Linked DNA regions of Drosophila melanogaster. The protein of the gene in region 3 interacts with the protein of the main gene of each other region in a pairwise test. Each region holds a gene or a part of one and is shown on either strand. Other genes may lie near its edges. The genes, in order: CG9106, CG12811, CG11590 and azot.

Region 1 (8,355 bases), 1.1 Mb from region 3:
GGGCACGGAGCAGATGTGTCCGGCGAAAGTGGGGCGGTATTTCAATATTGCTGAGCTCACAGAGACCAGTTTATTTAATTGATTCGCAGCGAGTTCTGTGGTATTAGTTTTAATGGAAGAACATTCGATTCTTTTCTTTTCCGGTGATCATGTAATCGTGCAATTTTCTTTAAAGGCAAGCCATATCAGAGCCTTCTTTTAGGTCTCTGAATTCATATCCTTTGTGCACGTTCCCATTCTTTGGCCGATTTCCATTTCGATTCAAATGCGTTTGGGTGTGGGCTAAAATTTACATTTATTTAATTTGCCCCGGTACGGAGAAATGCAAATGCCGTCGTTGCAATGTAAAATGTTTAAATGCAACCTCTCTCTGTATCTCTCTCTCTCTGCTGCTATAGTGGCGTCTCTTTCGCTTGGAATACGGCCGTCTTTGTCTGCATTAATGCATATGCATGAGACTTAAGCGACGGCCACGCCTCGAAGTTGGTAGTGGGTACCGACTACCCACTACCAAATTATCGACACTTAAAATGTTGCAAGCGTCGCCTGGGCTTGCCAACCCAACCTCGCACTCACCCCCCGTCTGTTTTAACCCCTTTGTAGTGGCCTTTGGCGCCCCGCTAATGCCACGTTAACCCCCTTTTTCGGTGCTTCCTCTGGGGTCTCTTCATCTTCATCTTCGTCTTCATCGCTCCCGAGTTTCGTTGTCCTGCCAAAGGGATTCCCGTCGACGTTTATGTAATCTTAATGTTTATGCAGCTTATGCTTCATAAATTCGCCACTCCCCTCCCGTGAATGTTACCCCCCCACAGCCGCCACTGGAAATGCGCTGCTTTTGGCGCCGCGACGTCGTCTTCCGGTGGCATTTTGCGCCATCGCAGCTGGATCTTCATTTTATGCCCTTGCTGTTCGGTAATTTGGCCAGAATTTTACCCCGCCGCGTACAGTGAAACTTATCTGATCCACTGTATTCATAACTTATGAATCTTGAAATTTGAAAGTTCATGTCCCTAAATTTACTTTGCTTGCTTTGTAAATGCTATCTATGCCTTAATTTATTTAATTACCTAATGGGCAATAATTAAGTAAAGAAATTATTTGTTGCAAACTTAAGCATAATAAAATATATCAATTTCAATCCATCTATACTTTTAGGGTAACTGCAGTTTGGCTACCCTTTTCGTTGGCCATTCATTTCGTGTGTTTTTGCCGGCTCTTTTTGCTCTCTGCTTCCCTTTTTGCACATCCGTTGCCGTTTGTGCCATTTGTTTATTGCCAGTTTTATTGCTTCATTGCGAAAACTGGCGAGCTATACTCTGCTTATCTACCCCCATGCCCCACCAAGCCCGTGGAAATCCTGCCGCCTTCTGCTCGTTTTTGGTCCTTGCAGCTTCATCTTCATCCGCATCCGCATCCACATTGCTTCTGCTTTATTTTGGCTGATGGAAATATTTTTACGACAAGTTTTTCGCGAAGATTTGCAACATTTGCAGAAAACGGAAACGGCAGCCAGCCAACGGAAGTGGATGTGGCACTGAAAGTTGCGCAAATCAGCGCAAAAACAAAAAAAAAAAAAAAGAACGAAACGAAACGAGGGAAAACCCTGGGAGTGGTCTCTGCTCAAATGGAACGCACATTTTGGCCATAAAACGCTTAACGTTGATGTGTTCGCCTTGATCAACCTTTGACCCCGGCTCAGGCTGACCCCGGATGTTGTCAACTTTTATGCTAACATTACATTCGGTGGACAGCATTGGAATGACAGCCGTGCCCCGCACTTTTCGCGTCCATGAATTTTGCATGCGGCAGCAGAATGCAAAATTATAATTAGGCAGCCGCGTGATGCGAGCGAAACAAGAGATATGGCCCTTTCTTCCCTTTCTCCCCTTTCTCCACTTTCTCCCTTTTTGCTGCCAGTCCGATTTTACAGTCAACGCACGTTCGGGCATAAAGTACATTTTATTAGCTTGCCTTTTGCATCGGCCATCGGGTGGGTGGCTTAGTGGTGGTGCTGCATCACTTCCAACTGGCCTCTAATTTCCAGCTGCCGGATGACACGTAATTGGTGTGACCAGGGCACAGGAAGTTTCGGGAGAAACAATTACGTTGCATTCGTTGCAAAGTGTGATCAGCAAACGAATAGCTGGAAAAAGCATTCACATTTAATTACAACTTTGGATAATGTACAACATACAGGCAATTGAAGGAATCAATTGTACAATAGTTTTGCAAAATTAGTGTGGCCAGGCTGTGAAAAGTTGTCACTTAACTGTTTGCCTTAACGGAGAAAATAATTACACGAATGTAATTAGTTGATGTAAAAAGGTAGTTGTAGCACATTTAAGGCTCCTGCTAATTCAAATCAAAACGATTCCCTGCGAACCTTCGAAATTATTTTTGAAAGCACCAAAACACTTTGGTCACACTTAGGTAGATACCTTTCATACGATTTGATTCGCTATAGTTTCTCCCCCGCTGGCAACGCTGCGTATGCGTAATAATTTTTTAGTTGCGCCACACCCGACACGAAGCCCATGGCAATGCAAATAAATATTCAATTGCAAATGGCTGAGGGGGCGGACAGTACACTCCTCTCTTAGGCTGTATTTTTTTTTTATTGTTGGTTTTTTTTTTGCTATAAAAGCAAGGGAGAAAGTAGGGAAGGTACACGCGAGGCGGACGCGCTCAAATTGCAAATTGCGCTCGTTTACAAGCGAAATAAATGCGCGAGCGCCTGCCATTTGGCAAAAGTCAGCCATGCTCCACACACAGATCCTGACCCACCGCATTTTCCGCTTTTCCACCGATTCCCGCCGCCAGCGAATGGCATTAGAAAAATGAAGCGTCGTGCCGCAAAAGACAAGTTGGTCGTCGTCGTTGCCTCGCTCGACTTGCTTGGCATTTTTGTGTTGCGTGCTTTTGGGCGCGTAATTAGATAAGCAGCCAGCCTGGATATGGGTCCTGTTTATCCATGCCCCAGCTCCTTGCCGTGTCCTGGCACGGTGTCACCAGCCAGCCAGCCAGCCAACTGAACAACCAACAAGCCGCTGACAGATGGAGCGTCATAAAAGCGGCAACAACAATGCGCCGCAGAATGTCTGAGGTTAGGAATAGCGGCAAAGTGGTGGGGCGGAAATGGGAAATGGAAAAGCCGAGACAAGACCAACCAACCAACCAACCAACCAACCGACCGACCGACCAAGCGAGCGAAAAGGGAGTGTAAAGCGGTGACGGGGATTTGAATTTGTCACGTGGCCGGCAAACGCACCTGGGCACAAAGGGGCGGACAAGGACACAACATGCAATTATACGCAATCAACATAAATCATTCAAATTGCCACGCACACACACACACTCGCAGAAGAGGGAAAAATAATGGTAAAGAAAAGTCGAGACGCACTTCAAAAGGGGGCGGCTGTCGGTGTGGGCGTGGTGACCGTTGACGTTGGCTTTTGGCTAATTTGCAATTGAAATGCCCAAATTCTGTGGGCTGGCCGCATTACGCATACGCCGTGTGGTGTCTGCGTGGCAAAGGCTCCTTAAACTTCCGCTCAGTCCATTCATCTTCCACCCCCGCATTCCGAGTCGACTGACAAATGCCACAGGGGCACGTGAAGCGGCCAGTGACCAAGGTAAATGGCACCCATACTGTCCATAGAGATTTCTTTATAAATTTCCTTTATTTTATTATTATTTTTTTTTATTTTTTGCAATTAATTACGGAATAACCTTGCAGATTCGTATACTATTTCTAGTAATTGCTGCCTTCGGAAAAATCACTTAACGCCAGGAACTTAAAATTTAGAGCAGGGAATGTAGCAAGAAAAAACAATCGACGTTATATTGCCAATGCCACGTATTTGGCGAATACTGAATTCCTAGATTTTGCCAACAGTGCCAAAGTTCAAATGACAGTTGCCATGGTCCAGCTTATAAACCGTACAAGCCAAACGGAGCTAATCAAGAATCCATCAAAACCATCGTCCATGTGCGGTACACTGCAATCGCTTCAACGAAGAATCTGGTTTATGCATCACCATCAGTCGAACAGAACGTCCATCGGTATGCCATAAATCTCGGCCAGCTGCAGTTTGGTGTAGGCAACAACGCCGCTGGGACAGTAGGCCATCGCCTCCTCCAGAGTGACCCACTTGGAGCTTGACTCACCGGCACATACCACATGCAGATAGACGATACCATCGAACATCTCATGGCTGATGATGCCCATCAGGTTGCTGGGGGTGCCGCTACTGACGTTTCCGGCGGTGTTGCCACTACCGTTACCATCACCGTTACCGTTACCGTTTCCGCTTCCGCTTCCGTTTCCGCCAATGATGTTGCCGCTCTGGCTCCCAGCGCTGCTCATTCCATCGCCGTTGCCACCGTCGCTGCCGCCACCGCTGCCGCCACCCACGCTGCTACCGCTGGCATTGGCGTTCGAAGAGGTGGACGGATTCAGATTGATGACCATCCTGGAAGGGCAGCGGTTCGGGATATCTATGAGGCAAATATCGAATGCAGCCAATTAACTGAGTGTATTTATAATTATTTGGATCTAGTAAGCCGAAAAGTATTTCTTATATATATTTAACAACAATACTTATATTATAAGTGATAATTAACTCACCTGAATATAAAACTATCAAAAGTGGAAAAGAAATCGGATTGGAAGCAGTTATCAAAGTGGCTCAATACTGAAGCTTCGTTGCTGGTTGCTACCTTTGGCCTTCTGGACGGGATGGTCCGTGGTTGGATTCTCGGTTAGTCCTTCGGAAACCGTAAACTTTGAACTTTGAACCTACGAATTTTGTACTTTGCTCGGTGCGATCCAATGAGACTCTGGTGCAGTGATGTGCTGCTTAGGGATCTGTTATACACTTCTCGACGTTCAAGTCGCACGCGATTCTAGTGCAACTCTCTAATTAGCTAGATACAATACCAAGTTATGATTTTTGTTTCGCTGTTTGATTCTTTTTTTTTTCGATTTTCCTCTATTTTTTTTCACTTTTGTTTAAACGGTGTGTGTGTATTTTGTGTCGATTGTGTGTGTTGACTACCTAGATGATTTTAACTTATGAAATGAGCCATGACATTAATCTGGCATTCTTTTCAAAGCCAGCTGGTACATTTTGTTTCGACGATGAAATGAGAGACACAAATATCGCGAATATTCAAGATTTTGGTAAATTAATAATTCTTATGGCTATTTCATTAATTCATGACACTGCACATTCTAAGTTAGACTTTAAAGTAAGTGCAGTAAGTGTACTATTTAAGTGCAAAAAGGCAAACAAAGTTTTCAAGGATTTTTTTTTTTAGTGTTTTCCTCAGAAAATCCCCATACCATTCACAATTTTTTGACATCGCCCGGCAACACGGGTGTTTATGAATGTGCCATATAATGTTTTGCTTCTGCCAGCAGCACCAAATGAACTGAACAAATAAAACTTTCACGGCAAAGTTGTTGACACGGCAGCCTCCTCCTCTTCCGATTTGCAGCTGCAATTCCTCACCTTCATGTTCACGCTTAGCTCTTTATTTACGATTGCAGGTGCAATGCGGGAAAAGTGCAGGAAAAGTATGGGAAAAGTGTGGGAAAAGTGTGGGAAAAGTGCGGGTGTGGGCGAGAGGAAAAGCAAAGTAAAAGCACCAGAGCTGAGTTTAAGTCGCGGGAGCAGGGGTCCCAAAGCAATTAAATCGCATTCGCCGTGTGGAAAGCAAATAGGATTCCGGGTGGGGCTTTGAATGTGGAGTCCGGACAGAGACAAACAATCAAACGGAAATTAATTGCGGTATGTGTGAAAAGTGAAAGCCAAAAGCTGTTCGGTAAATGATTGTCGAGCAGCGAGTTTTACCCCGGTTTCCCCACGACGACTTTAATTCTTAAACCCTGATTGATAGCTAACCTCGTCCTGGAGCAATGACTTCTGCTCTCCAGCTCTTCAGAATCGAAATGAAACCAAGATAGTATGCTGACATCCGAAAAGAAGTAAATTTTTACCACTGCATAGCCACACAAAGCGAAAACTTTTACACAGCAACCATGTAATAAAATAAGTCTTCAGAATTCGATGGGTAATCTTTTCAGCTGCTTTTTGGTCATTCAATATATGCTTTTCGTATTTAGAGGCATTTTGCTTACTCATTGAACTTATGTATGTGAAACACAGCAATTTTCCACACTTGTGTCATGGCATTGCCAAAAAGCGATAAGGGCGAAGGGTCGAAGTTTAATTAATACACCATTACGTGCTGTTTTTGGCCAACAATGGGTGGGTAAGCTTACCATTCGTTTTGAGATGCGTTGCAGCCCAATTTTGTCAACGTGGCCATAGCTGTATCCACATCCGGATCCGGTTCACAATGAGACGACGACTCATTGGACCGGCAGTGAGTTATATCAAAGACACTAGAATAACAAGATGCGTAACGGCCATACATTGGTTTGGCACTATGCAGCCACTTTTTTGGTGACGGCCAAAATTACTCTCTTTCCGCTCACTCCCGCTGAGAGCGTAAGAAACCTAAAAATATAATTTGCTTGCTTGTGTGAGTAAAAACAAGAGACGAGAACGCGTATAAGTGTGCGTGTTGTGCTAGAAGACGATTTTCGGGCCGAAATCAATTCTGATCGAAGAAACGAATTTACATGGTACATATTAGGGTAGTTTTTGCCAATTTCCTAGCAATATGATAAAATAAAAAAATTTTTTAAAATTCGCGCCCTGACTATTATAATTTTAAAGCTTTTTAAATTTGTTTGTTAAAATTGCCGCTCGAATTAGCTACCGTTTACACATTTATATTTATGTTTAATTCTAATTTTTCTCTCATCTGACAATTTTTTAAAAGCTAAATATTTTTTTTGAAACACTTTTAATGTTAATGTTACATCATATTAAGTCAAATGATTTAATAAATATACTAAATAATTAAATATGCAATTAAATGAAATTGCAAAAGTAATATCAAAGACAATAGAATTATTCTAGTGTCTTTGCTTTGTTCATATCTTGAGGCACGAAGTGCGGACACAAGCACTCAACAATCATTACCTTATTAATTTTTCACACGCCGCAAGATGAATACTCTAATGACAAATATTCTTATATAAAGTCATTTTTGAAATTTATTTTTGTGATAATATGTACATAGATTTGAGTATTTCTAATCTATTTTCAAATAATAATAACGTTAAGGCAATGCAAAACAAGAATTTTTCGCATGGTGCCAATTGATCAAAAATAATATAGATTTAAAGCCAAAGAACTTCTAAGGTGAAGGGCATATTTTTTCAAATTTACAATGCATGTGAATACGTGTGCACACATACAGATGTCTGCTATCACTTTGTGCGTTGAAAAGAGCTGTTCGCTGTAGCGCTCTTCGCTCTCTCGCTCTCTACCAAAAATTCGAGAGAGCCTGGAGCCACCTCTAGAGCCACGGCCAAAAAATCGTGTGCCAAAAAATCGTATGGCGTTACGCATCTTGTTATTCTAGGGTCTTTGGTTATATCTTCATGAAAGATTTGACAGTTGCACCAGCAGTCGCACCCAAGGGGCCAAATTGAGTACGTGGAAGGAGTATCGCCTCCATTGCCTCGGTTACACGCCTGGTTTGACTCCAGCATCCGACGCTGCACTGCTCTGCGCCATCCAAGCGTTTCATATTGCCACCTGCCACCCAACTGTGCCACATGCCACCAGCCACCAGCCTGCAACCTGCCACCTACCATCCCACTCGCTACCCACTTGCAGTCGCACTCAGTTCATAATGCTGTCAAGGTTGAGCGATGCTGAAATATTGAAGCCTGCCCTTTAAATATTCACGATATTCGTGGCTTGATGGGCGGTATTGGCGTTGGCTTTTGCCCGAAGCAGGTGATGCCGTAGTGAAAACCGTCAAAATGCCGAGCATTAACTTGTCAACTTGGTTGAATTCATTCTTAGCTGGCAATCTGCTCAAAAGTATTTACATTCGATTGCCAACAGTGGCATCGTCATATGCAGCTATAGAAAATGTTATAATACGCACTTATCTGACATTATATTTGTAACTTTACGTTTTATGAGTAAGTGTTTACATATCTGTGATCTATTTTGCTTGTTGGTTGGTCTTCATAGTGAACATGTGTTGCATTGCATTCACCAAGGTGAGCGATATAGTGTGACCATACAATTGGTAAAATATAATTTTAATAGAATATCCGACAAATATTTAGAAGATTTCAAGATAAGAAGAAGATAAGAAGATTTGTATTTGTATTTGTATTATTTAGTAAAAGGCATAACCTAGTTTCATTAAAAACAAAAATGCTTAAAAATGGTCAGTAGCAATAAATAGAGTGTGCCCAAA
Region 2 (8,562 bases), on a different chromosome or scaffold from region 3:
CCAACTGGTGGTCATTGATGAACTTAAGCGCCTGGCGCAGTGTGCAATGACCGGGGCTAATGCGGTTGGGCTCCAGATATCCGTACTCAAAATCATCCGGCGTTTTGCGTTCCAGGGGCAGTGGTCGCTGTTCCACATTGTCCGCCGCCGCCTCAGCTGCCTGGCGCTCCTGCACTCGCTTGATCTAGGGAACATATAGCAGGTTCCATATTAGTATTGGTCGAAAGTACCTTCTAAGGTATTAACCCACAAATCGATCCTGCGAGGTTACATAAACGTCTTTCAATCGTCCGTCCAAGCTGGAGTCTTTCATATTGAGCTTGTCCACGAACTTGGGATCCACTGTAATGGGGAAAATGAAGCATTACACTCCAAGGGTGTTTAATTTTACTTACATTCCAAGGTGCGCTCCATGTCTCTCAAATTCGAGTCAAATTTGGGCGCCGGCGTTGGCTTCTCGCGCTCGAGGACGCGATGTGCACGATTCTCGACATTGAAGCGATTGGCCCGGCGGGCAACCATTGAAACCACCTGACCCATGCCAAAAATATATTATGTTTTATTTATGTTGCTAATAATTCACGTGAAATCGAGAAAAACCAAAAGAATTATAAAAGCATGGCCAGCTGTTATATGTTTTCGAATCAGCTGTTCGTTATGCTATCGATAAGTTATTGGGTTTTGCAACAGTTGACTGGCCAATTACCGGGTAGTGTTGTTAGCAATACACAGCTGATGCTTGTAAACAAACGAAAAGTTCACTTAATTTTCAATTTGTTAAAAATCTTAAGAAATGCTGCCCCTGCGATGCAGTTGGTCCTTTGCCCGGGCCAACTATAGCACCAAAAAGGAACTGGTGACTCGCTACAGCGGCGATTTCCCCGAGAAACTGCTCAACCGGAAGCAAAAGGTTCCCACTCACATGTACATTGCAAATTCGGAGGCTGCTGCAAGGATTAACCAGTACCTGGAGCCCCATTTCCAGAGCTCCGGTTGCGATACCGTGATGGAACTCAATTCCGGTGCTGGGTACTTTACCCGGCATCTGTTGGACAGGGAATCCCAGTTTCGACGCATAATTCTGCTTGAGAGCATGGATCACTTTATGCCCAAAATCCAGGAGCTACACACGCTATATCCGGAACGTGTGAAGGTGCGCCAAGGAGACTTTGTGAACCTGTGGAAGTTGGTGTACATGGACAAAATGGACGGTGGTTCCAGGGTGGCGGATCTCCTGAGTGATGTGCCCCAGAAAGCGTTTACAGATGGTAAGCCCATATTGGCTATTCAATATATCCTCGAACTTATTTTTTTCCTATAGATATCAACATGCTAGTCTTCGGCGCCGTGGGCTCCTATCCATTCTTCAAGCACTTGATCAACTCCCTCATTTTTCAGACCAGCCTTTTCAACCTTGGACGCTGTGAGATGATCCTCGCCATGCCGCCACCCATATACATAGTAAATAAGCTTATTATCCCTGAAATATATCACGCTTATATCACTCATTTCCCTCCGTTAGCATCTCACCTGCAACAACGAGATTGGCTACCTCATTTACCGATCGACCAGCGTACTGTTTCAAATTCTGTTTGAGCACAAATTCATAGCCAAGGTGCCGCGCGAGGATTTTCTACCTCAGCAGATGGCCTATAGCCCCACCAAGAGTAGCAAGTTGGGTAAGGTGCAGTCCATCAATCCCGAGTACTTGTACTTGGTGAAATTCACTCCGCGCCGCAATCTTCATGAGCTGTGCCAGTCGCAGGATCTACCCGCTCTCTGGTTCTTCATTAAGCAGAACTATGTAAGCCGACGAAACAGAATAATACCCAATTTAGAGTAGGTAACACAATCAAATCATCTGGGGTTATTTTTATAAATTCAATTATTATTTGTGTAGAAAGTGGGTTCCCGGCTGTGGACCTCGGCTTATCATTAATCCGAAGTCCTCCGAGTCCGTAACACCCATCTATCCAGATGAATTGCCCAAGAAACTACCACAGTACTCGTGCCAGAGTACTACAATGAGCACCAGAAACTACTATCCCGGCATCAACATCTACACACAGTTCGGAGATCTCCTGCCCAGTCAGATTCTGACGCTATTTAGTCAGTTTCGTCAGTGGCCGGAGTACGGCGAGAGCTCTTTCCTCGCCTCGCTGGAAAATGCGCTGCTCAAGCTGGAGACTGCCAATGACGAACCAAACCTAGAGGATGGCGTCACGTTGCCAGAAGAGGATGATGCCGAAGCAGATGAAATTATCGAAGAAGAAAGCCCTGTACCCGCCACCACTCCCGTCAAGAGGCGCAGGAAAGCCAGTTCTTAGTTGTACATAATAGCGTTTTGCTTGTGCAAGAAAAATAAAGAATTGCCTTCATTTTGAGAAATGGTATGTAATCATATTATATCTGTCTTAAACATGGAACAAATTCGCTATTCTTCACTGGCCTCCACACATTACCAAACAGAACACAATACATTTAAGCACATAATGTTAAAATCCTTTAAGGACACTTTCCCTGAGCCATTAGGCGACTGCCGCGTGCGCATTTCTCGGCCAAATCAACGTAGTATTCCGGCGGAGCCTGCTCCGTGTCCGAAATACGCGTCTCCAGTTGAACGGACAGCTTCACACAGTCCACCATCAAGTTGGTGGGATTCACGCCAAGTACAAAGGAAGCCTCCTGGTAAGGACACGGGTTTTCTTCCTTCTTGGTGTTTCCGAACTCATAGCATGTGTCGCGAATCATAAAGTGTCCGTCCCTGTTACATGGATTTCGTACGCACTTCGGGATGATCTCCTCCTTGTAGAGCACCAGAATCTGTCCAGCCTCACAGGGTCCCTGTCGGTAGGCCGGATAGCAGCCATCGGTCTCCGGGTAATACAGTGTGGCTATCGAAGGGGAAGTACCCATACGGAGATTATTATGTCATCGCCATGGTAGCTCCATTATGACCGCTCACCTGGCGCGCAGTCGCAAACCCAGTCGTTCTGCTTCTGCTGGTCCCCCGGATAAAGAAGCTGGTGCTTGGGGCATCGGGCTGGCGAATACAGTGGCTTGCGACCCTGTTGATGAGGAGAAAGCGGAGGGGTGTGAGGCAGGAATTCGATTGATTATTGCCAATGGGGCTTGCATACACTACCAAAACAGTCCCCGTATTTTGAAATTCACTTCAAACACACACTTTAGAAGTTTAAAGGTTTGAAACTCTCAAAGTCACCACAGTGATAAAATAAATGTATTTCTTATTTTTAACAAAAAAAAAAATTTTTCAATCACGTTCAACAGTATCCATACAATTAAAAGTCTGTTATTATAATTATTTAACTAGAACCTTAAGCTAGTTTTAAAATCAAAGCAATCATGAAATGTTTTTGAACATTGGTCACTACACAAAATTCCTAATTGGACTCCAACGACTTTCACTTCTGATTGGGAAGGGTATTCGGCGAAAGATGTTGCCCAGTTCCGGCTGGGTTTTCTCTTCCATTTTGGCGTTTCTTATCACAAATGTGGATTGTGTCTGGCTGCAGCTTACCGCAAGGTTGGCCTTCTTCTTATCAATGTCTTGATCCTCAACAAAGGCGATTTGAGCGTGTGCCACTTTCCCAATAAACGCAATAAGCGCGGCGATCAGCAAAAGTTGGGGATTGATCATTGTCCGTATAATCACTTGTTCATGTGATACTCACGGCAATTCAAACAAGTATGAGGCTGGCCAATCTTGACTTAATCTTAATCAATGGGAAACGAAGATCTTCGATAACGATAACGATCTTAGTTGGGTCCAGTTATGTTATTGTTTTACGTTTTCTCGGAAATATTCCAATATTCCAATTGGAAGTTTAGTGCGAATAACCAGAAAAGCAGAACAAAGTGAAATTAAAACATAGTCCAATAAGGGCCAGTTCCAATTGATATTGCTCTCCCGATTACATCCGCTCTTGCTAGTGATGCTCAATACTCAATCAATGCTCAGCTGTTTCTATCGATGAGTTGAAAAAAATAACTTTCTGATCATATAAATTTAAGCCAAGAGAAAAGGGAAAAACTTAAAAAAAATATCTGCACACTTACGTTTGCTTTTGAAATATTGGATTAAGAACTCCTTGTTAAGTAATGCTTAGTTATATTGTCTTCCTATGAGTTGTGGACTACCAAATTACTAAGTGTATCAGAAATTAAAATTGAAAATCGAATAATTTGTTATATAGAACGATAAGCATTACGAGTCTATTTTGGCGCCCAACTACCGAACATTTTCAAAATGTTGCCATTATTGGTTAGCACTGGTTAGCCAATCGCTAACTATCGAAAAGCTCCCATCTCTTATTTTCCTTTGTCAAAATAAAAACCAAATAAATATATATAAAATTCACCTGCAAAACGAAGCAACAAAAGACACTGTACGGCTCAAATGGACGAAGAGGAGAACTCAGGTGGGTGTGGCAGCATCATAGCACTCGCCAAATGTTCCCAATAACATATGTTCATCATATGAAACTGCGCAGAAATCAATTCTGTGCAAGCACGGGATGAAGATGTGCAATTGGAGGACCAACAGTCACAGGGGCTCCAGGATCGGCAGGTAGACGTGATAGAACAGGCTTGGAACAATGCAATGCCAGACGAGCCGTCACCGCCGGCAGAAGATGCCTTCCAAGATCCACTGGCCACCGATGGTGAGGGAGGGGATGCACTTGAGGCCATGGTAGAGAACGTTTTGCAGGACGACACAGCAAGCGAGGGCAGTCATCCCAGCAGTGACATGTCTCTGGAAAGTCCAGGAAGTGAAGGTTAGTTGGCTTACAATCGTTGTGCTGCACATTCCTACTTAACCCGCGTTTTCCATCCTTTCCAGATGATTCCGATCTGGAGAGCCTGCCCCATTGGATGATTCCGCAGAACCGACTGCGCTCCGCCGTAGACATGATGGTCTCGCAAGCCCGCAATCGGGATGGTGGAATCGCTGCACTGCTCAGTGGGGACAACTTCCTACAGCGAGTGCGTAGCATGGTCTTTAGCCAGGAGCGACGGCGCAGTCGCACAAGCGAGGAAACGAGCCAGGAGGCTGCCGAGCAGCCCGTTGATCCACCGCCACAGCAGCCACCTCGACCACCAATCGACATTGGCTTTGACACCAATCTGCCAGCGGAGCATTCATACTTCGGTAATCATTTGAGTCGCGTGCCCGGAGTGGACTACTTGGAGGTGGGCAGCGTCCATCACATGCTCATCTTCTTGCACCAGCACATCCTCTTTCCCGGCGAGGTGCTTCCCTTCATGATCGACGGCCGAATGTTTGACGAGGATATGCCCGGTCTGGACGGTCTGATCTTCGGTGTAAGCTTCCCGCGTTTGCAGCCGCCGGAGGACAACCCACACAAGTTGTATGGGGTCACGTGTCAGATCTACGAAAGGGGCGAAAGCGGCCGAGGATTGGTGTTCTACAAATCACGAGCACTGCAGCGCATTGTCATCAACTGCGATGATATAAAAGGGTGAGTCTTGACTATACGGATCACCTTAAATTCTCCATGATTAATCCCATATCTTTTCAGGTCACCGCAGTACATTGCTCGCAATCCAACTAGCAAATGCTTCAGCAAAGTCAAAATATTGCCCGAGTATTTCCTGCCCGAACCGCTCCAAACTGTTGACATGGGCTCGATGGCCAGATTTCGGGATATACCCTCGATGCGCGACAAGTATCGCAGGTTCCAGCTAAGCACTACCACCTGGCCATCTGATGCCTGCCAAGAGTATTCGTTTTCTTCAATTGTGGAGCGAGCACGCCAGAGGCTGGAGTCCCAAAAGATAGACACAATGCCAAAATGCCCCATTCAGTTGTCCTTCTGGTTGGTGCGTAACCTTCACCTGACCGAGAAGATGATGCGGCTTACCTTCCTCACCGACTCGGTTAACACTCGCCTCCAATTGATCAAAAGCACGTTCAAGGACGAGACACTCTTCTTTTGCCGATATTGCAATAGCAGCTTGGCCCTCTGCTCGGATCTCTTTGCCATGTCCAAACACGGTGTGCAGACACAGTATTGCAATCCAGGTAAGCATAAGGAGAAGTCCAATGTCCGTCTTCTATAAGCAATGAATTCACTGAAACTAACTACTTTACAGAGGGCTACATCCACGAGACAAACACCGTGTACCGGGTGATATCCCATGCCATCGGCTACAGCGGCGAGCCGTCCACAAAGTTTAGCTGGTTCCCCGGCTATCAGTGGCACATTATTCTGTGCAAGTTCTGCGCCCAGCACGTCGGGTGGGAGTTCAAGGCCGTGCATCCCAACCTAACACCCAAGGTGTTTTTCGGTTTGGCCGGCTCCAGCGTGCGGATTGGAAAAGCCAGCGAGTACTCGCCCTTCAATGGAACCACCTATGTGGTGCGGAATATGATGCGGATGATCTCAAGCGATATGGAATGAGGCTGGCGCGTTGTGAAGCGATTTTTCAGATGTCAACTCTGCTGCTGGCGTCGTCAGGAGAATGATGCGGTCCATCAGGTGGGACCTGTTTAATTCGTTTCACAACTACTTTTAGCAAAAACACACGGCGTTTGATGGCGTGGATGTAAACCTAATTGATATTTACGATTATTTGAATAATAAGTTACTCTTAAATATTTGCTTTTAATATTATGGTTACAAATTTCAATCATTTAAAAGTGCCGCAAATGAGGTGGACAGCTTCTGAAAAAGATAAAGCAGTTGTACATTGGCAATAGATGAAATGATAGGCAATATTACCGCCTTGCAGAAGGGACACTGGCCGAAGGAGACCTCCAGAAAGGTCTTGCCATCCATCAGAGTCTTAAACCACTCCTCCAAACAGACGGCATGGCACTTTAGCACACATTTGGCATTGTCGCAGGAGACGAGGGGCACCTCGCCACCATCCAGGCGATAGGCAAAGCAAATGTTACAGCGCAGCTCTTCGTTGTCCTCTTCATCCAGCTTGGGTCCATCCGACCAGTCTGGCATGGGAAAGTAGCACAAGTCGAACATTCGGAGTAGGTTCTTGTGAATGTTCATTTCGGAGTCCCAGTTACTTAGACCATCGCTGAGAACGTGGCGCAGGCGGGCCACCTCTTCCGTGGGCCCAATGATCTTTAGCGACATGGATGCAATGCAGGCAAAGGGATCCGCGATGGTCAGCTTCAAGTAGACGCGATCCTTGAGAGGGAACAGTCGTGTTTTGTGTTTGCTGCTGATGGGCGATGGTTGCAGCACATGACAAAGCTCGTCGATATCCATGAAGTTGTCGTAGAAGGGACGCAGATCCTCGAGAAGCTTGCGAAAGAGGTTTAGGGCCTCCTCTAGGTTTCCAGCACTCTTGGTCAGCATTTCACCCAGCGATACGCAGTCGGGCAAACTGTGATCAAGCAAGAGAAGAGACGGGATCTTAAGCTCCAGATAATGCTGCTCGAAGTCGGTGAATTCGCTGAAACGAATCATGGAACAGGCCTCGTCCACTTGCAGGCAGTACTCGTTTGACTTGTACAAGGCCAGGATATCGTAATATATGTTCCCCTCCCGACATAGTTCCTTTGGCACTGTTGGGGCTTTTTGGGCAGGAAGAATCTTTGGCAAATGGTCCAGAAAATCCTCCAGCAGCCAATCGTCCTGTAACTTGAGATTAGCCGATGTGTACAGCTTGTACTCCAAGCTTTCCTGGACGTAGAGCTGGAAACCATGAAGAGCTGGGTGGTGTGGCAGATAGAGTTTAAGGCGGCGCCATGTATCCTTAATTATACAATCATTATTAGTTTGGCGGGAAAAATTGAAATACGGATAACTTACCTCACTGCCCAAAACTCCTCTGATGATGCACGCTCCACTTGGCTGAAGCTCCGCTGCCAGACCAGGATACTTTTGACACAGAAGGCGCTCTACATCTTCGTTACTTTCCATTATATTTGATTTTGGTCAGATTGTGCTTGAATGACTTTTGTTTACATTTTATGTTTTGAACGGCCATAGTTAGAGATGTGCAGTCTTCGATGACACAAAGTCTTCAATCACGATCGATAGGAAATTAATCGGCCGCTTTTTTAAATTTGATTGCTCGATCAAACCTTAAATTATATGTTTATTAACCCTTCGAGCCAATATTCCGCCTTGCTTACATATTCACCCTCTGGCTGTTTTGTTTACTAGGTATAGCCGGCAACATTGTAGTTCAGCCTCTCCCTACTTATCAGCCAAATTTACGTTATTTACTGATTCGAATCGGCATTGTTTGCTCTTCGTCAGAGCGCAACACCTGCAGGCCACAGTGGTTTTCTTTTGTAACACCTGCGTGGCGGCCCCGTATCAATGGCAATAGCCACCGATTTTGATAAACTGCTCTCTACAGGCGTTGGTCATCGTTCGAACACGGGGCTATTTAAGGTTCTCCACCAGCCCCATCGATTCCACTCACGATTGTCATCTGCGTGCGCGCGTACTCAATGTATATTGTATTCTTCTGAAGTAAGATTAAAAAAGATTCCATCCAGAAAAATGCTGCGAATCGTTGTAACTTTGGCTCTAATTCTGGCCA
Region 3 (7,825 bases):
ATGGCGTGGGATTAGGCTTAAGCTTAAGCAAAGATTGGAATTTCATGGTTGACTGTTTAGGAATCACTCTTTCACACAGATTGAGAAACATTGAGAAAGAAAGAGAGCGCTTCCTAAACACTTCTAGAGTAAATTGCCTACCCAGCTGGGTGTCCATCTCGTCGGAGACTCGCTTGGCCACCGACATGGCGGCCACACGACGCGGCTGCGTGCAACCGATCATGCCACGCTTGCTGTAGCCATCCTCGTGAAGATACTGGGTTAGCTGTGTCGTCTTGCCGCTGCCCGTCTCGCCCACGATAATGATCACCGAGTTCTCGCGAATAACGTTGAGCAACTCTTGACGCGATGCGAAAACGGGCAGGAAGCGGCGCTGCTCCGAGATGGTCTTTTTGCGCGAGAAATCGCTCTTGCCACCCGTATCCTGGTCGCGCATATGGTCGGCGAACTTCTGATCCTTGCGATAGTCGGCCTTGTCCTTCTCCTTGTCGAAACGCATATCGTCCTCGTCCTGCGGCCGCTGTACACCCATAATGTTGCCCAGCTTGGTGCCGCTCAGCTCCCAGTGCTTCTTTTGCGCCTTGCGCCGCTCCTTTTGCTCGCGATAGTTGCGCACCAGGGCGCTGCCCTTGCGCGCCAGCAGTGCCATATCCGAGGTGGGATCCTTGACGGGCACCACCGGCTCCGGTTGCTTGGTGAACACGATGCGGCCGTCGAGAAATGGCGGTATTATGTGATGCACCAGGAGATGCACTCGCTCCAGCGCCTCCTCATCGAAATCGTCGTTGACGCTGATCAATGTGACCACGCCCGAGGTGAGCATACGATTGCGCTCCCACAACTCGTTGTCACGGTTATTCTGGCGCTGCTGAGCGCTGATTCTCTTTGTTCTCTTCTGCTCCAGCTGCTCTTCGCGCTTGCGAAAGTACTCGGAGTTGGGGCCACCGAATGGATTGTTCTCATCGTCGTAGCCCTCGTCAATGTTGTACCACTCGCGGTCGAGGCGACGCTGCTCCTCCTCCCACAGATCCAGCGATTCGGGATCCTCGCCCCATGGCGTTGCGCCGCTTCGCTTGCGACCGTGTGCCCACTGATTGTAGCGATGCGCTGGCGTTGGCCGGACAGTGTCATCCTGGCGTCCGTGATTACGCCGACTGCCGCCGCTCCGCACTGACCAATCACCCGACTTGTTGCCATGGCGTCTGGGCGTTGGCATATCCCAGTCCGACTTGCGCTGTCCAAACTCGCCGTCCTCGTCGTCCCACGAGCTATTGGATATGCCACCGCTGCTGCCGCCTGGTGTTCCCGGCTCACGCGGCGTATGGACACTGCGCTCGGACATGGAGCGATCACGATCACGATCACGACCACGATCCCGATCCCAGCTGCGGTGCCGATCGCGCTCCCTTTCTCTGTGTTGGCGCCGGTCGCGGTCACGATCCCGATCTCTGTCCCGGTCCCTGCGTCGGTCACGATCCCAGTCGCGATCCCTGTCCCTGCCCTCTGCCGCTGTGCTGCTGACTGGGCCACGTTTTCTGTCCCGCTGGATGTGCTCGCGCAGACGCTCGCGTGCCTTCTCGGAAACGCCGCCGGTGTGCGAGGGTGTATCGTCTTTGTGCTCGCGCAGCTGGCCGCGCAGCTTTTCGAAGCTCTTGGTGTCCGGTTTCTTGAAGGCAAACTCACTGGAAGCGCCAGAGGCGTTGGCCTGCGGCGTGGAGCTCCCGCCGCCGGTGTCATCGAATTCGCTGTCCTTGAAGGAGATCAGTCGCTCGGATCGCTCCTTTTCGGCCCGTCGCTTGGCCGCCAGCTTGTCCAGGCCCAACATCGATCCCTGCGGCACCTTGAATCCACCGCCACCGCCAGCGCCGGCATCCTTGGGCTTCCGGATGACCAGGCCGCCGCGCGTCTCCTGGCCAGCGGTGCCCTCCAGCCGATGGACACCCGACTCGTCGTCGTCGGACATCCTGTTGTGCTGGTTAGTCTGTTGCTCCTTGGCTATTTCGCGAGTCTTGCTCGTTGTCGCAAAAACGATTCATTCGCGTTGGCGTTCTTGGGCACAGCTGATCGGCGGGGCTGCCATCCCGCTAAAAAAAAAAATGCTGGACAGCAGTAATGCCACTCTGGGTTAATTGTCGTTACGAATTTACATTTTATTCTAATGCAGAAAATTAGTTTTTAAATACTTACTTTTAAATATTATTTAGCTTGAAATATTTATGTGCATGTGCGCAACTGTAAAATTATATCTATTTCGTTTTTCCACTTATTATTTTCTTTGTTGCATTTTGTTTTGTTTAATTTATTGGTAGAACTTGTAACCGCATAATAAGATGGTAAGTTGTATTTGAAATGGAATAACTAAGCTTTATATATTGCAAGATACAATAATTATGATTATGTGATCAAATGTCCATTTCCATTTTCTCAAAACATTTAAATTACATTAAAAGTTTACAGCTAAACAAAGAGTGGCAATGCTAGAAAATAAAGCCCTTGTTAATTTTTAAAAAAATAAATTAATTTTCCAGATAACCGTTTTATTTCCATTAAATGGACTGCAAATTGAATTTAGTCTTTGCTCTCGGCCTTTGTGGGAACCGTCTGCGCGATCCAATCGAGATACGGCGGATTGCCATTCTGGATGGGCAGCGCGATGACCTCGGCGACGCTGTAGGGATGATTCTCGCGGATGAACTTGCTCAGATCGTCGATGCGGCTGGTGCGCGTCTTGATCATCAACAGATATTCGGAGTCCTCGCTAATCTCGCCTTCCCACTTGTAGATAGACTCGACTTGGGACACAATGTTCACGCATGCGGCCAATTTCAACTCAACGATGCTGCGGCCCAGCTTTCTGGCTGACTCCCGATCCGGAGTGGTCACAAATGCCACCGAGCTGCTGCCCGACTGATAGGCATTGCCTGTCGCCGCTGATTGTTGCTGGTCGCCCATTTTGGAGCATTCACTGGAATTGGAATTCGAATTCGAATTGGTACTGGAACTGGCGTTGGCGGCACTGGAAGAGAAGCAACAACTTTTGTGACTGCTCGCTGTGGCGAATGCCGGCGGGTTGGCGATGGCGGTGGTGACGCTGGCAGCGATCAACAGGTTGCGCACCAGCGACCAGCGAAGGGGCAAGCAACTGGCGGAGATGCGATATTGCATTCAGATGCACTTTGCACGGTGAAAAGCAAAACAATAATGAAACAAAAAACCAAGTGCCACAGTCGGCGGCGTTGCCAGACATTCCAGTCAAATGCGATGTTTAACATTAGGGCTCCTGCGCACGAGACAAGTGGGATTAACATAAAATGTAGTATTTTAGGTATCTATGTTAACGGTATTTTTTTTCTTGAAGAGAAAAGTAACGGTTCGTTTTTTAATAGATTTCAAAACTATAAAAAATAAACAAAAAAAAAAACTTTTTCGGGCCACAAGATGCCATTTAAAAAAAAAACGCATGTGTTCGATTTAGTTTTTAATATTTTGCTAGCTATATAAACTCCAATCACCGATTAACATTTAAATACAATATCATTTTAACGCTACAATAAATACATAGATATAATAAACAGCAAACAGCAGCAATAATAAAATAAATAAATAACCACTGCCACTCATTTACGACACAAATCGTGCATTCGCATCATTGCCTGCGTAATTTCCCCCGAACTGTCCGGCTGATTTGGCGGCATCGTCGTCCATGTCAGCCACCAGGATGTCCGGCACCTGCCGCCCAACTCCGCGTCCGCCATCGCCATCGCCTCCGGCCCCACCTCCGTCCAGCGCATGTAGTTTGCTTTCCTGTTGAGCAGACGATAGTAGTAAGGGGGCAATCGTCACATATCTTCCACGGCCATCTGACCCCCATCGCTACTCACTCTGCTGGGGCTCTCGAGAAGCAATTCCTGAGCCATCGGATCGCCGGACGCCGACTGTCGTGGACGGAGCAGTCGCTGGAGCGCATTCGGCACACTAAACTGCTGAGCCGCGAACGAGGACGTGGCGCTGGTGGTGGTGAATGTGTCGTTGCTGCCGCGGCTGGACACCGTTCCCGTTTCCGTGGTGAAGCCGACTCCCGCCTCGGCGCGTTCGTGCTCCAGGAACGCTTTGGTGCCGCCGAGCGTCGCCAGCGGATTCTGGAAATGCATGTTAATGTTGAGATCCGTGTGGCCGCGCTGCCGGTACTGATAGTACATGTACCCGAGTCCGGCGATCAGTGATCCGGCGGCTAGGACGAACAGTGCCATCAGCCAGTGAAAGTGACCGTTCTGCTCGTGTTCATGTTCCAATTCCAGGCTGTTGACCGCACCCAACACGGCCACCTCATTGCCAGAGCCATGGGGACACCGTTCGCCTTCGGCCACCAGACGATTGCCACACATGCATTCGTAACCGTAGTCCGCCTGCAGGCACAGTCCATGGCAGTGGGCATGGGCGCATGGATGCGACGCCTTCTGCGGCTGACGCGACCTGCCCGCCACCACAATGTCCTGGGCGTTCAGCACGTTAATGCTGATCTTGTGACAGATGCGGGATCCGTACAGTGCGCACTGCACCGCCTCCACGGAGCCCAGGTTCACGATGAACGCATTATTTTCGTACACACTCAGCCCAGATGGATGCATCAGAGCGTTGGACTTTTGCAGCATTATCTCCGGTCGACGCATGGGACCCGTTTTAAGCCTATAGCTAATCCTCTCCAGCGTGCGCATATGCTGGTCCACAAAGTACAATAGCTGCTGATGCGGATCGGTGGTCAGGGCGGTCATGAAGCTTTCGCTTCGCTGCAGCAGCATATCCCTGCGACTGCCGTCCAGTCGAGCCATGTGAATCTCCGAGCTCGTCTGGCCATAGCCCTCGGTGCGTATGACTATGTAGAAGATCCGGGCGTGATAGCCATCCACAGCCAAATGCTTAACGTGCCTGGGACTCTTCACGTGCACAATGCGGCCGCACATGCGTCCCACGAAACTGCACGCTTGGATCTCCTGCGCTCCACTGAGCACATAAACATTTCCGGTGACCCAATCCACGGAGAGTTTCGTCGGTGCGGGCAGACCCAGAGCCCGCACAATCACCTTCGTTTGCAGATCGATCTGATAGACGATGCCCTCGTCCTCGGCGGAAAAGTAACCCATTTGCCGGTGCATGGCCAGATCGAAACCGGTGATCCTCGAATCATTCGCCGACCAGGCCACATTGAGCATAACGGGCTGTTCGCTTAGGTTTCGCACTTCGTTGAAGCTGCTGAAGAGCAGAGTGGCGCCAGACTGCAGGCTCTTGCAGCTAACGCGATCCTGGCGCAGCATAAAGTCCGCATGGCACTGGCACTGATAGCCGCCGAGGGTATTCTCGCATAGCTGAGCGCATGGCTGCTGCTCCTGGCACTCGTCAATGTCTAAACAGCTCTTCTGATCCGCGTCCAGGCGATAGCCATCGAAGCAGGAGCACACGGCGCCGGCTGGTGTGGCGCGGCACTTGTGCTGGCACACCTGGCGACCCGATGCCGAACGGCAGGCGGTGGCGCACTTGGGTCCCTCGTCGTGGCCGTTGGTACAGTCCGGGAAATTGTTGCATACCCGCGACAAGTCCACGCACTCGCCGTCTTGACAATCGAAGAGATGTGGCCGACAGGATCGGCTCGAGGTGCTCCACGGCTGAATTTGGCTCTGATTGTGATGGCCCTTTTCCAGTTCGCAGCTCAACTCGTCACTGCCGTCGCCGCAGTCCTTCTGGCCATCGCAGCGGAACTCCCGCCGGATGCACTCTCGACCGGAGCGGCACTTGAACTCATATATGCTGCACACATCACCGCAATCGGCCTCATCCTCGCCGCGCGGACACTCGGTGGTGCCATTGCAGCGAACCGTAGACGGCAGACAGATCTTGAGATTGCTCGTGCATTGGTATTGATCTTCCGCGCAGGATATGTTCATCGTGGATGAGTCCGTGCCGCAATTCAGTTCGTCGGACTTATCGCCACAGTCGTTGTGGCCATCGCACACCAGACTCCGGTCCAGACACTGACCCAACAGACAGCGCTGCATGTCCGGCGGACAGCTGCGATGGACACACTTGTCGTGCTCGTCGGATCCGTCGCTACAATCGATCCGCCCGTCGCACTCCCAGCTGCCCGCTATGCAGGATCCGCTGCCGCACTGGAACATTCCCGGTTCGCATCGCGATGTCGCCTCGCACAGCAATTCGTCGGAATTATCGCCGCAATCATTGGTTCCATCGCACACCAGGCTCGAGTCCACGCACTTTCCATTGTCGCACCCGTGCTGATGGACATGGCACTTCTTGCTCTTGTCTGTGGAGTAGAGAGAGTATTCAAATTCAAATTATCCACCAAGTGCAGCTCGTTTCGCTTACCGAACTTCTCGCAGTGCTGCTCATCCGAATGGTCGTGGCAATCCTTGCGATTGTCGCATCGCCGCTCCTTGTCGACGCACTGCTCCCCGCTGTGGCAGGCGAATTGGTTGGGCGAGCACAGAACCTTTGGCTTGCGCCGATGCTCCTCGTCGCAGTTCATCTCATCCGAATTGTCCACGCAATCGCGTCGTCCGTTGCAACGGTGATTCATTGTGAGGCACTCGCCACTGTGGCAACGGAACTCACAGTCCAGAGCCTCCACGCAGGTGCGGTTACCCGCATCCCGGTAAACGAATCCGGCCGGACATAGACAGATCGAGTGGTAGGGTCCCTCGCCCACACAGATGTGCGAACAGCCGCCATTCTGCTGCTGGCAGGGATGCGATTCCTGGCCGACGGGTGAGCTGGCGGCCAGCGGAATTCCATTGGGCGTGGCCACAGGCACGTACGGCATAATGGCGGCCGGATCGTCCTTCTCCATTATATCGATCACCTTTCGCGGCCCCATATTGCTCTTGTGCGTCCAGTAAATCCTTGGCGTACCCAATTCATTCCAAAACAGATCGTGATGCACCATGGCCAGGCTATAGGGACGCCTAAGCTTGCCCCGAAAGATTTGGCTGTGCGGCACCCTGTAATTCGAGTAGCTAATCCTGCCCAGATCGCTGTCTGACCAAAAGATCGTTTGGGTCTCGTAATCGGTGACCAGCTTGATATCATCATCGCCCAGATCGTCCTCGAATACATGCACCTGTTCGCCCTTGCCGCTCAGCGGTATCTTGTCAATGTGGCTGTGCCGCTTGGCCTTGAGCACAACATACAGATAGCCCTCCGCGGGCATAACAGTGAGTCCAATTGGCACCTCCTGGCCCGGAAAGAAGCGGATCAGCGCACGATGGCGCGTCTGCAGTGAGAGCACCTCAATCACAGCCCGCTCCGTATCCGCCCAGTATAGATTCCTGCTCAAATGATCGAAGGCCAGGGCACTCACATTGCCCAAATTGGAGCGGACCAGGACGTTGCTCTCGTGCGACTCTGGCTGAAACTCCAGGATCAGTCGCTGGTCATTGTCCGCTATTATCAGGCTGCCATTGATGCGATTGTACACCATTTCGTTGATCAAGCAGGGCAGCGTGTATGACTTGCTCACCTGATGGCGCCCAAAGGCGGTGTGCTCGATCTCGAGCAGCACCTGACCGAGGCCAATGAACAATCGTTGGCGCTTCTCCATTAGCATGCAGCGCCGATGATCCGGCGCCAGCCGCATGCCATCCGGACAGGCGCAGCTGTGACCACCGATTTCGGGTTCGGCCAGCAGGCATAGGTGCGAGCATGTGGCATTTTCGCAACCATGCGGCGAGTTGGGCTGCTTGGCCGGATGATAGATGTGTACGGCGTAAATGGTACGATCCTTGGCCAGGATGCGATGATCCTTGCCGGAGAATTT
Region 4 (7,737 bases), on a different chromosome or scaffold from region 3:
ACTTTTCTGGCAATTGCTTTTGGCAGCGTCTGGCTATTGACATCACACTTGGCCTTGAACTGCGTTCCGCCCCCCGGCAACAACCACTCGAGTAGCTTATTTTCCGCTCACTCTGTGCTCTTGGTCAAATTAATGCGCGTCCTTCGGGGTGGGCGGGTCGGTTCGAAAGCTAGATACGCCAGGCTGTCTGGCACATTTGGCCAAATCAAACAGCCGGCAGCCAAATGAAAGTCATCAGCATCACTCACATAAGCGTCTGGAAGGCAGAGAGGCAAAGGGGACGGGTGTTGACCAGGGTCGGGTTCATTTCGGAACACTTTTGGCCGTGCTCTGGCAAACAAAAACTCGAGGCCACTGCTGGCTGTGTTTACGTTTCGCCTGCCAGAGCGTTTACTGTTTACACTAATTAGATTCCGGCCGGAGTCCGGTTGCACAGCCCGATGAGCTATTGGGTAACCTGCGGTTAACCACGGCTCCGAGACCACGTCGCTGAAGGATTTCTTGCGTCTAGGGAAAACTTAATAGATTGCATAGCAAGATGGTTATAAATCATCGCTATGCATTTCATGTTTAGCTACGCAAAGAAGGTGTTCTTTTCCCATCACGTACTCATAAAGGCAATTTTAATAGTGCCCAAACGCCGAGTCTCTGCTTCAAAGTTTACAACTGGCTGTTATCTCAACGAGGTAAACAGAAACCTACGATTTTGCTATCATGACAAACTGAGATAATGGAAGCATTAATTAGTAATACCACTGTTTTGATAGGGATCAACGTATCTTCTCCACCCGAAAAGGCGTTTCAACGCATATGAAGTTACTTTGTCTGTAAACTAGTTCCCACAATTGCATCAAAATCTAAGGCATTGCTCGTTCGTTTGTTAAAATGCATTCTTTACCCAACTGGTTTGTGCACCAGTACTGCTACATACACAACGATATGTGTGTGAATAAATTTCCACATCATACTAATATAGGCTAGCATATAGATTTACAATTAAAGTGATTGACTGTTCGACTGCCAGCACTTGATGCATGTCGAACACTTCCAGTGAGTGCACAATCATTTCTGTGACTAAGACATATTCATAGCACAGCTAGGGTGTTTTCTATTATGAACTATATATTTTTAAAGCGTGCCTATGTATAAATAACAACTCCGGAGACTACCTAAAAGTAGTATAAACTTTCCATGCGGAAGTACGTGTATAGCTAAATCCCACCCTTTTGGATCTTATTCCGAGGGTTCGCTTCGTGGGAATCAAACAGGTGCGCTGGGATTGAATACAACAATTCGAATCAAAACTGTGGGTATACGAAACTCATATATAAGTCGAGCAGAAATTTATTTAGTCAATTAGCCAATTATGGAGTATTGCTGGGAAATAAGCTGAATGTTTTCTTTTTTTTTTTTCTAATTTCAAATTATAATGCTGCCCCATTTGTGACAATTTGTGTCAACTTTCTTAATGGACGACACTAATCAATGACTTAAATTACAGCGAGGAGCGCGGGCTTTATCAATGCGCTTGCACAGCGATTACTCGTATTCCATATTTACCTGTGTGAGGAGTAAACAGGCGCTATTGATTGCCTATAGCCATCGGTTCAATGTCGCACCGCCACTCACATGCAGAGCAATGCAATTAAACTGTAGCTGAACGATAACCTATTTAAATTATCCATATGAAGCGCTAGAAACATATGAACGTCGGAATGACCTCTCGACTTTTGATTAACATTAATAAGTCCGTGGGTTAACTGTAAGTGGATGTAAAATAAAGAAGCTAATGTTTTAATTTTTCAATTAAGCATAATTAAGTATTTTTGGGGTTATTGTGGGTATTTACCTTTTACAAATAGGATTAGCAATGACGAAATCGTGAAATCTTTCCGAGTAATGCATCCCAGCCCCGAAATATTTCTCCGAATTCGGCATCAATTATTCTTTCTCTATACATGATTTTCTTTTATATATGTTCTGAAATCCATGCACGAAGGCGCATTCAAATTTATAAACCTTTCCCCCTTACAAATTATTAGTCACTAGTCACTTGACAATATTTTATTGCCAAGGTGGGCTTTTATAATTGCCGAATGAGTCATGGACAATGTATGTTGTATGCGTATTAAGGGTGCCAATAGATAACAAGGTAATTTAAAAAGAGCAAGGTGCGATAAGACTTGAACCCAAAATCATGCCACTTGTAAACTTGGTCAGACAAAAAGGAAACCAGCGAGTCCAGTCCAGTCCAGCACATGGTCAAATATTTAAATTGGCATCGTAATCAGCGTGGCTCGATTTTATGATTGCTCTGGCCCATCGCCATCACCCTTTCGAATATCCTGGCACTCCCCAGCGGCCATTAGGCACATGCGACCGTTTCGGAGTCACGCGCCGTGCCACATGGACACACACAAGTGGACTTCTTCGGACAAGGTTTAACAGCCGACTTTCTGGCGCTGCGTTGAGTAAGCCAAAGGAATTTGGTTGGGAATTTCAAGTGGTGCCGCCTAGGCGTAGGGAAAACGCGACTGGGTTGGGCTCTTTCGAAAGGGGTTCGTGGTTAATTTGTGCCTTCAATTTGGAATTCCTAGCTTCGCATGGCGGTAACAAATTCGTTGAAGGAGATCTTTCCATCTTTGTCCTGATCAATGTCCTGGAACAACTCGCGCAAGTCCTCTTCGGACATCTTCTCGCCCAGGTTGGTCATCACCATTCTGATCTCGTTAATTGTAAAGCTGTTCACTTCGCTGCGATCGAAGATTTTGAAGGCCTGCTTTAGGCACACCAGACTGTTCTGCTCCTCCAGCCGTTTGCTCATCACGTATAGAAAGTCCTTGAACTGCACCTGCCCACCGAAGTCGGCGTTACTTTCGTTGGCCAGGTCGTAGATCTCCGCCTCGGTGAGACTCTCTCCAAGGGCCCGCATTACTCCGCCGAGCTGTTGGACGGAAACCCATCCGGACCGTTCCTTGTCATACAAACTGAATGCTTCTCGAATTTCTTCAATCTGGGCCTCGGTCAAACTGCCGCTCATTGTTTCCAAAGTGATTTTCTTTTTTTTTTTTTTTTTTGTAGTGGACTAATGTTTCATGTGCTTTTGTCAGTGTGAACATAAAGAATTTAAACTGAACACAGACAGAACGCCGACTTTTTGTTGGATAGAAATCAAGCCAGCCTTCTATACGAGTACTCACATGGAGGCTATCGCATTGTCATCATGTTGACGAACTCCTCGTAATTCAAGTGATTGTCCTGATCCAAGTCGTACTCGCGTATCATTTCTTCCAACTCGTCGTCGCTGAGCTTTACGCCCAGCGCGGTGAACACATTTTTTAGCTCGGTGGTGGTAATGTAGCCATTGTTATCCTTGTCGAAAATTCGGAAAGCTTCGCGCAGCTCGTCCTCATGGTTGGTGTCGCGCATCTTGCGCAGAATCACATTGCAGAACTCCGGAGCCACGATGGATCCGTTTCCCTCCGAATCCACCTCATTGATCATGGACTGAACCTCGGCGTCGTTGGGCTGGCGACCCAGGGCGCGAATCACCACCGCCATCTCTTTAGATGTTATGGCGCCCTCGTTGTCCTTGTCCAAAATACGGAAAGTGTCAAGGATCAGGACTCGCTCCTCATGCGAAATATCCTCCATCTTAACTGGTATATTATAGTTTCTCGGAAGAGTTGTATATTGCTCTGTTTATATGTAGGTGTCAACTGATGTTTGGATGAAACAAGGTCCTGACATTGAACTCAGTGAAATGTGAAAAATGGTAAAATGAACATCCCCCGGTGGCTTCACTGCGCTGCACAGTGCACAACACCGAATGGCACAAAATCAATATGCTCGTTATATAAGCGCAGTGCCGCACGGACAGAGTTGATTGATTCGAATGTCCTTGGGCGAGGAGGCCTTGCAGCTGATCGGTTTCAATTGCGACCCAGCAACGGACGTCAGCTAGTATCTTTCGTTGTTCGTTAACAAAACAGAAGGAGAGTGCCGTTCGAGGAAAGTTAAGGAGTAAGAATGTGTACAATCACCGTCATTGTTCCAACGCACACTCAAGAAAAAAAAGGCTCATCTTTTCGCTATTCGAAATACAAGAACTCAACAGAAGTTTGCAACGCCAAAATATTTGTGTAGAATGAAAACAACATTAGTGAACTTTTATAGTTCCCGAGATCTCGACGTTCATACGGACGGACAGGCAGACGGAAGGACAGACGGGCTTATCCAGATCGACTAGTGATCTGGATGAATAACTCCTTTAGCTTCACGAGTAACTGGTATAAAAATGTAAATGTAAGATTTTGTTCTTGATTGCTTAAACTTATTCGTAAGTTTTGCTATACATTAAATAATCTATCTATGAATCAGCATACCATACTATTCATACTTAACAAGAGTGTTTTGAGTGTACTGCCATACAAGTGTAGTGGTTGCTATCGGCACAGAAAGGTTGTCATGCGATTTGGGTTTGGCGCCTAGCCTGCAACTTTGGCGGCTGCCTTTTTGCCGCAGGTTAATTCCAGTGCTTCTCCCCCTCGGCCCTTTCACCTGACCGCAGTGGGACACACCTGACACCGGTTTTTGGCTGCCGGAGGAGTGGTAGTGCCCGGGGGGGTGGGCAGAGAATGCGGCACGCTTTACTCTGGCCACAGTCTAAGCAAATAATAGACAAGAATTTGACATCGGCACGAGAGGGTTCCATTGTGCGGCTCATTTGATTTTTGGTTGTGTTTGGGTATTTGTTTGGGCTAGTTTCGGCGAAACAGAGGAAGTGTGCTAGAGGGCCATAATGGAAACATATCTCACATGTGTGTTTCGGAATTGTTCCTATGACGAGGCAAATTCTGGCCATATTTTTTGACCATTAACGCCGCCTGGCCCGACATAAATAATTTTCTAAGAGTGGGGTTCGGGAACCGTATGTCAAAACTTAAATAATAAATCTCTTGTTTATTTCTTGGATAAACCAAAAATATTCATTTATTGCAAATTTAATTTTTTTTCTTGCAGGAAAACCTCCGCGTTGGCTTGGAACGCAAAAAGCTCGAAATAGACCCAAAGTATTTGCTTCTTCTGGGCTTCACCTCGTCAAATGAAGCTACAGGCCAACAGCAGCAGCTGGATCAGCAAAATGTGGTGGACATCGGTTCACCAGGTCAGCAACTGCCAAAGACAGATTTTTCAGCGCCGGCTACAAAAGCGGAACTGGAGCTCAGCGAACTGCGAGGTCTGCGGCGTCCACAGGATGCTGTTACCTTCGGTAGTCAGGCAGGAGATCAAAAGGGGCAGCGGAAGCGGATCACGACGCCGTACAACGGTACAAAGAGCAACTTCACAATCGTCAGCTATGTGCTGGAGGGGCAGGCCGCATCGGCCATCCTGCTGGCCCAGAATATTGCCGCCAAGCTTCCCAGCGAGTACCTGCTAATCTACGATTTGGGCGTTTCCGAGGAGCAACTACGGGATTTGGGCGCCTACTGTAATAACAGCCGATGCTCGGTGATCACCTATGATCTGTCGGAGTTTCCCTCCTTCGTCGCCGATCAGCGGACGCACGCCTACCGGCCCATTGTAATTAAGGACGGTCTTATGCGTGCCCGATCGGTTCTCTTCTTGGAAAACAGCATGCGCGTGCGCGGAGGTTCCGCCCAGCTGCGAAGTCTGCAGAGCATCGTTATGAATCCAGGAGTGGGAAAATCTGCAGTCAAGTCCGCTGGAGTGCTCGGATGGAACACAGCGACGGCGGTATCCTCTCTGACGCATCCAAAAATGTTCGACTACTTTGAGTCGAAAGCTGAGGAGTTTAACTTTCTTCGGATGGTCGACCTGGATGCTGTCTTCTTCTCGGACAGCTCCTTGGTGGCCGAGAAGATCATGCTTCCCTGGCTGAAGTGCTGCCTCACCCTCGAGTGCATCGATCCGATCGGTGAGTCGGGTGGGATGGGTGGTGGTGGTGGTGGTGGCGTCATAGGGATATGTAAAACTGTCATTAGAAATGTTCCTCAGTCACTGCCTGACGCCAATATAAATCAATCAAACGTACGTTCAAACCTCCAACCCCCAAGCTCTCCTTCGGGGCTAGGCTCGTGTACTAATAACTGTCATTTGCACGGCATTCCGTTGATGGCACTCACATCGGGGAAATTTATGTAATTACCACCTGAATTGGGATTGATGGCAAAAGTGACATTGCCTTTCTTAACGAACAATTCATTTTTATTCGACCGGCATTTCCCAAACTAAGTAGTCAACAATACTCACTTTTTGGCTGGTTATTACATATAATGCTTACCAAGCATAGGTGAATTTTTAATAGAAATAAGCTTTCATTTCCTTGAATTCATCTGAAATGAACTCTGTGTTCACTTCCTGGCACTCCTGGCGAATTAAACACAGAGCTCATTTTTAATTGATGAATCCAAAGAAAGAAAATGCTTCTTTTCCAATTTCATTCATTTTCTCGCGCATGTTATATGCAGTCAAATGCTCATTTCTGTATCTTCATTGATTGACTAGATTCAGATACTTTATAGTCGACAAATTTTCGGTTAAGGATCAAAGGTATTTGGAAATATTCCATTCGTTCGTTGCTCGGCTTCAAAAAGTGTTTGATAACAGCGTGATATCATTTTTGTCACATCGAGTGCCTTGTAAGCCTTTAATAATTCTCGTGTGTAGTTTTCAAATCGAAGGGGGGATGTAAGGTTCTCAAGGGTTTCGGAAATGATTTTGGGGTAACGAGAATACAAATTTACATCTTTGTGACTTCTGTGTTTCGCTTCGCAATCGCTTTGATTGGGCTTAGTTATGGAGATTAATTCCCTTTTTTCTGAAACAGGTGCTTTTAACTTTCTTTTCTTGAGATTTTCCATATAGTATTGTCGTTGATTCAAAAAATTTCTTTTCATTGTCATTTCCATTAGCAAAGGTGATACTTTTTCAGTCCTATACTTTTGCAACGAACAGCAAATTTCACACTCGCATTCAGTCTGTGTACCTGCGTCAGTTTTGGGAACGAAAAGTCGTTTAGATCGTTTCTTTCTTCGACGATTGGGTGGTTGGGGTTTCTCTTCGGCCAAGGGAACATACTTTCCTTGATAGTCATCGTAAGTCAAAAAGTCCATGGGTGAATCTCTGTCGTCTAAAATAAACAGTTCTGCATTCGCCCTGGACTGATTTATTCTTTTGATCGACGCAAATGTTCTATTTAATTTTTCAGAAATCTCATAGCCCAACGGCGAAACAGATTCCTCAAAGTACTCAAAATTGTCGCTATTTCCGTGTTTTAAGGTCTCTAATCGATTTAGTTGCTCCAAAAGTTCTAACTTTGAGCCAACTTTTTTGTCACTCAGCCTGTCAACGTTAAGAAAGATGTTAGTAGCAGTTTGTCTAGTGAAATTCCTCAGATTCGTGTCCATGGTACGGAAGGCTTTGCGGTTAGAAATAATTTCTGCCTCCCTTGGTGTGTGTGATTTGGAATCATGGATAGTATCTTGATTTGAAACTCCCTTCTTGAGATTCTTGAAGCCATAGTCGTGGATTTTAAGTCCTTTGCCTAGCTTAAAATCAAATCCTTTGTTCCCAGATGATTTGGTCATCTTAAATTCGTTGGTTCTGATTCTCTTTGCTGGTGTCTTCGATGATTCAGCAGGATATGTTGAATCGTGTTGCGCTTCTCTAGCTGGAACCGTGTACTTTGAAAGATCTCCAAAAGAGGTTTCGAAA

Evidence for each region.
Region 1: the proteins of CG11590 (region 3) and CG9106 interact in a two-hybrid assay, tested with the Drosophila melanogaster proteins (one large-scale study listed by BioGRID).
Region 2: the proteins of CG11590 (region 3) and CG12811 interact in a two-hybrid assay, tested with the Drosophila melanogaster proteins (one large-scale study listed by BioGRID).
Region 4: the proteins of CG11590 (region 3) and azot interact in a two-hybrid assay, tested with the Drosophila melanogaster proteins (one large-scale study listed by BioGRID).

Annotation. Positions count from the first base shown.
Region 1 is NC_004354.4:15,267,360-15,275,714, forward strand, and holds CG9106 (uncharacterized protein), read right to left. Parts: upstream 5,047-8,355; 5' UTR 4,628-5,046; intron 4,556-4,627; 5' UTR 4,472-4,555; coding exon 4,040-4,471; 3' UTR 3,677-4,039; downstream 1-3,676.
Region 2 is NT_033777.3:10,044,876-10,053,437, forward strand, and holds CG12811 (uncharacterized protein), read right to left. Parts: upstream 3,923-8,562; 5' UTR 3,662-3,922; coding exon 3,542-3,661; intron 3,069-3,541; coding exon 2,966-3,068; intron 2,895-2,965; coding exon 2,506-2,894; 3' UTR 2,377-2,505; downstream 1-2,376. Other genes in the region: CG11722 (uncharacterized protein), read right to left, coding at 1-184, 251-342, 396-540; mtTFB2 (mitochondrial transcription factor B2), read left to right, coding at 794-1,268, 1,322-1,461, 1,523-1,839, 1,901-2,327; ohgt (ohgata), read left to right, coding at 4,421-4,442, 4,515-4,799, 4,865-5,504, 5,565-6,067, 6,139-6,446; fancl, read right to left, coding at 6,672-6,710, 6,768-7,763, 7,821-7,931; Npc2e (Niemann-Pick type C-2e), read left to right, coding at 8,523-8,562.
Region 3 is NC_004354.4:14,195,601-14,203,425, reverse strand, and holds CG11590 (uncharacterized protein), read right to left. Parts: upstream 3,249-7,825; 5' UTR 3,166-3,248; coding exon 2,569-3,165; 3' UTR 2,519-2,568; downstream 1-2,518. Other genes in the region: Prp16 (pre-mRNA processing factor 16), read right to left, coding at 142-1,963; yl (yolkless), read right to left, coding at 3,622-3,804, 3,882-6,316, 6,379-7,825.
Region 4 is NT_033778.4:7,945,806-7,953,542, reverse strand, and holds azot (ahuizotl), read right to left. Parts: upstream 3,705-7,737; 5' UTR 3,655-3,704; coding exon 3,208-3,654; 3' UTR 3,078-3,207; downstream 1-3,077. Other genes in the region: CG30378 (uncharacterized protein), read right to left, coding at 2,594-3,040; CG34431 (uncharacterized protein), read right to left, coding at 6,561-7,737; CG14764 (uncharacterized protein), read left to right, coding at 5,023-5,938.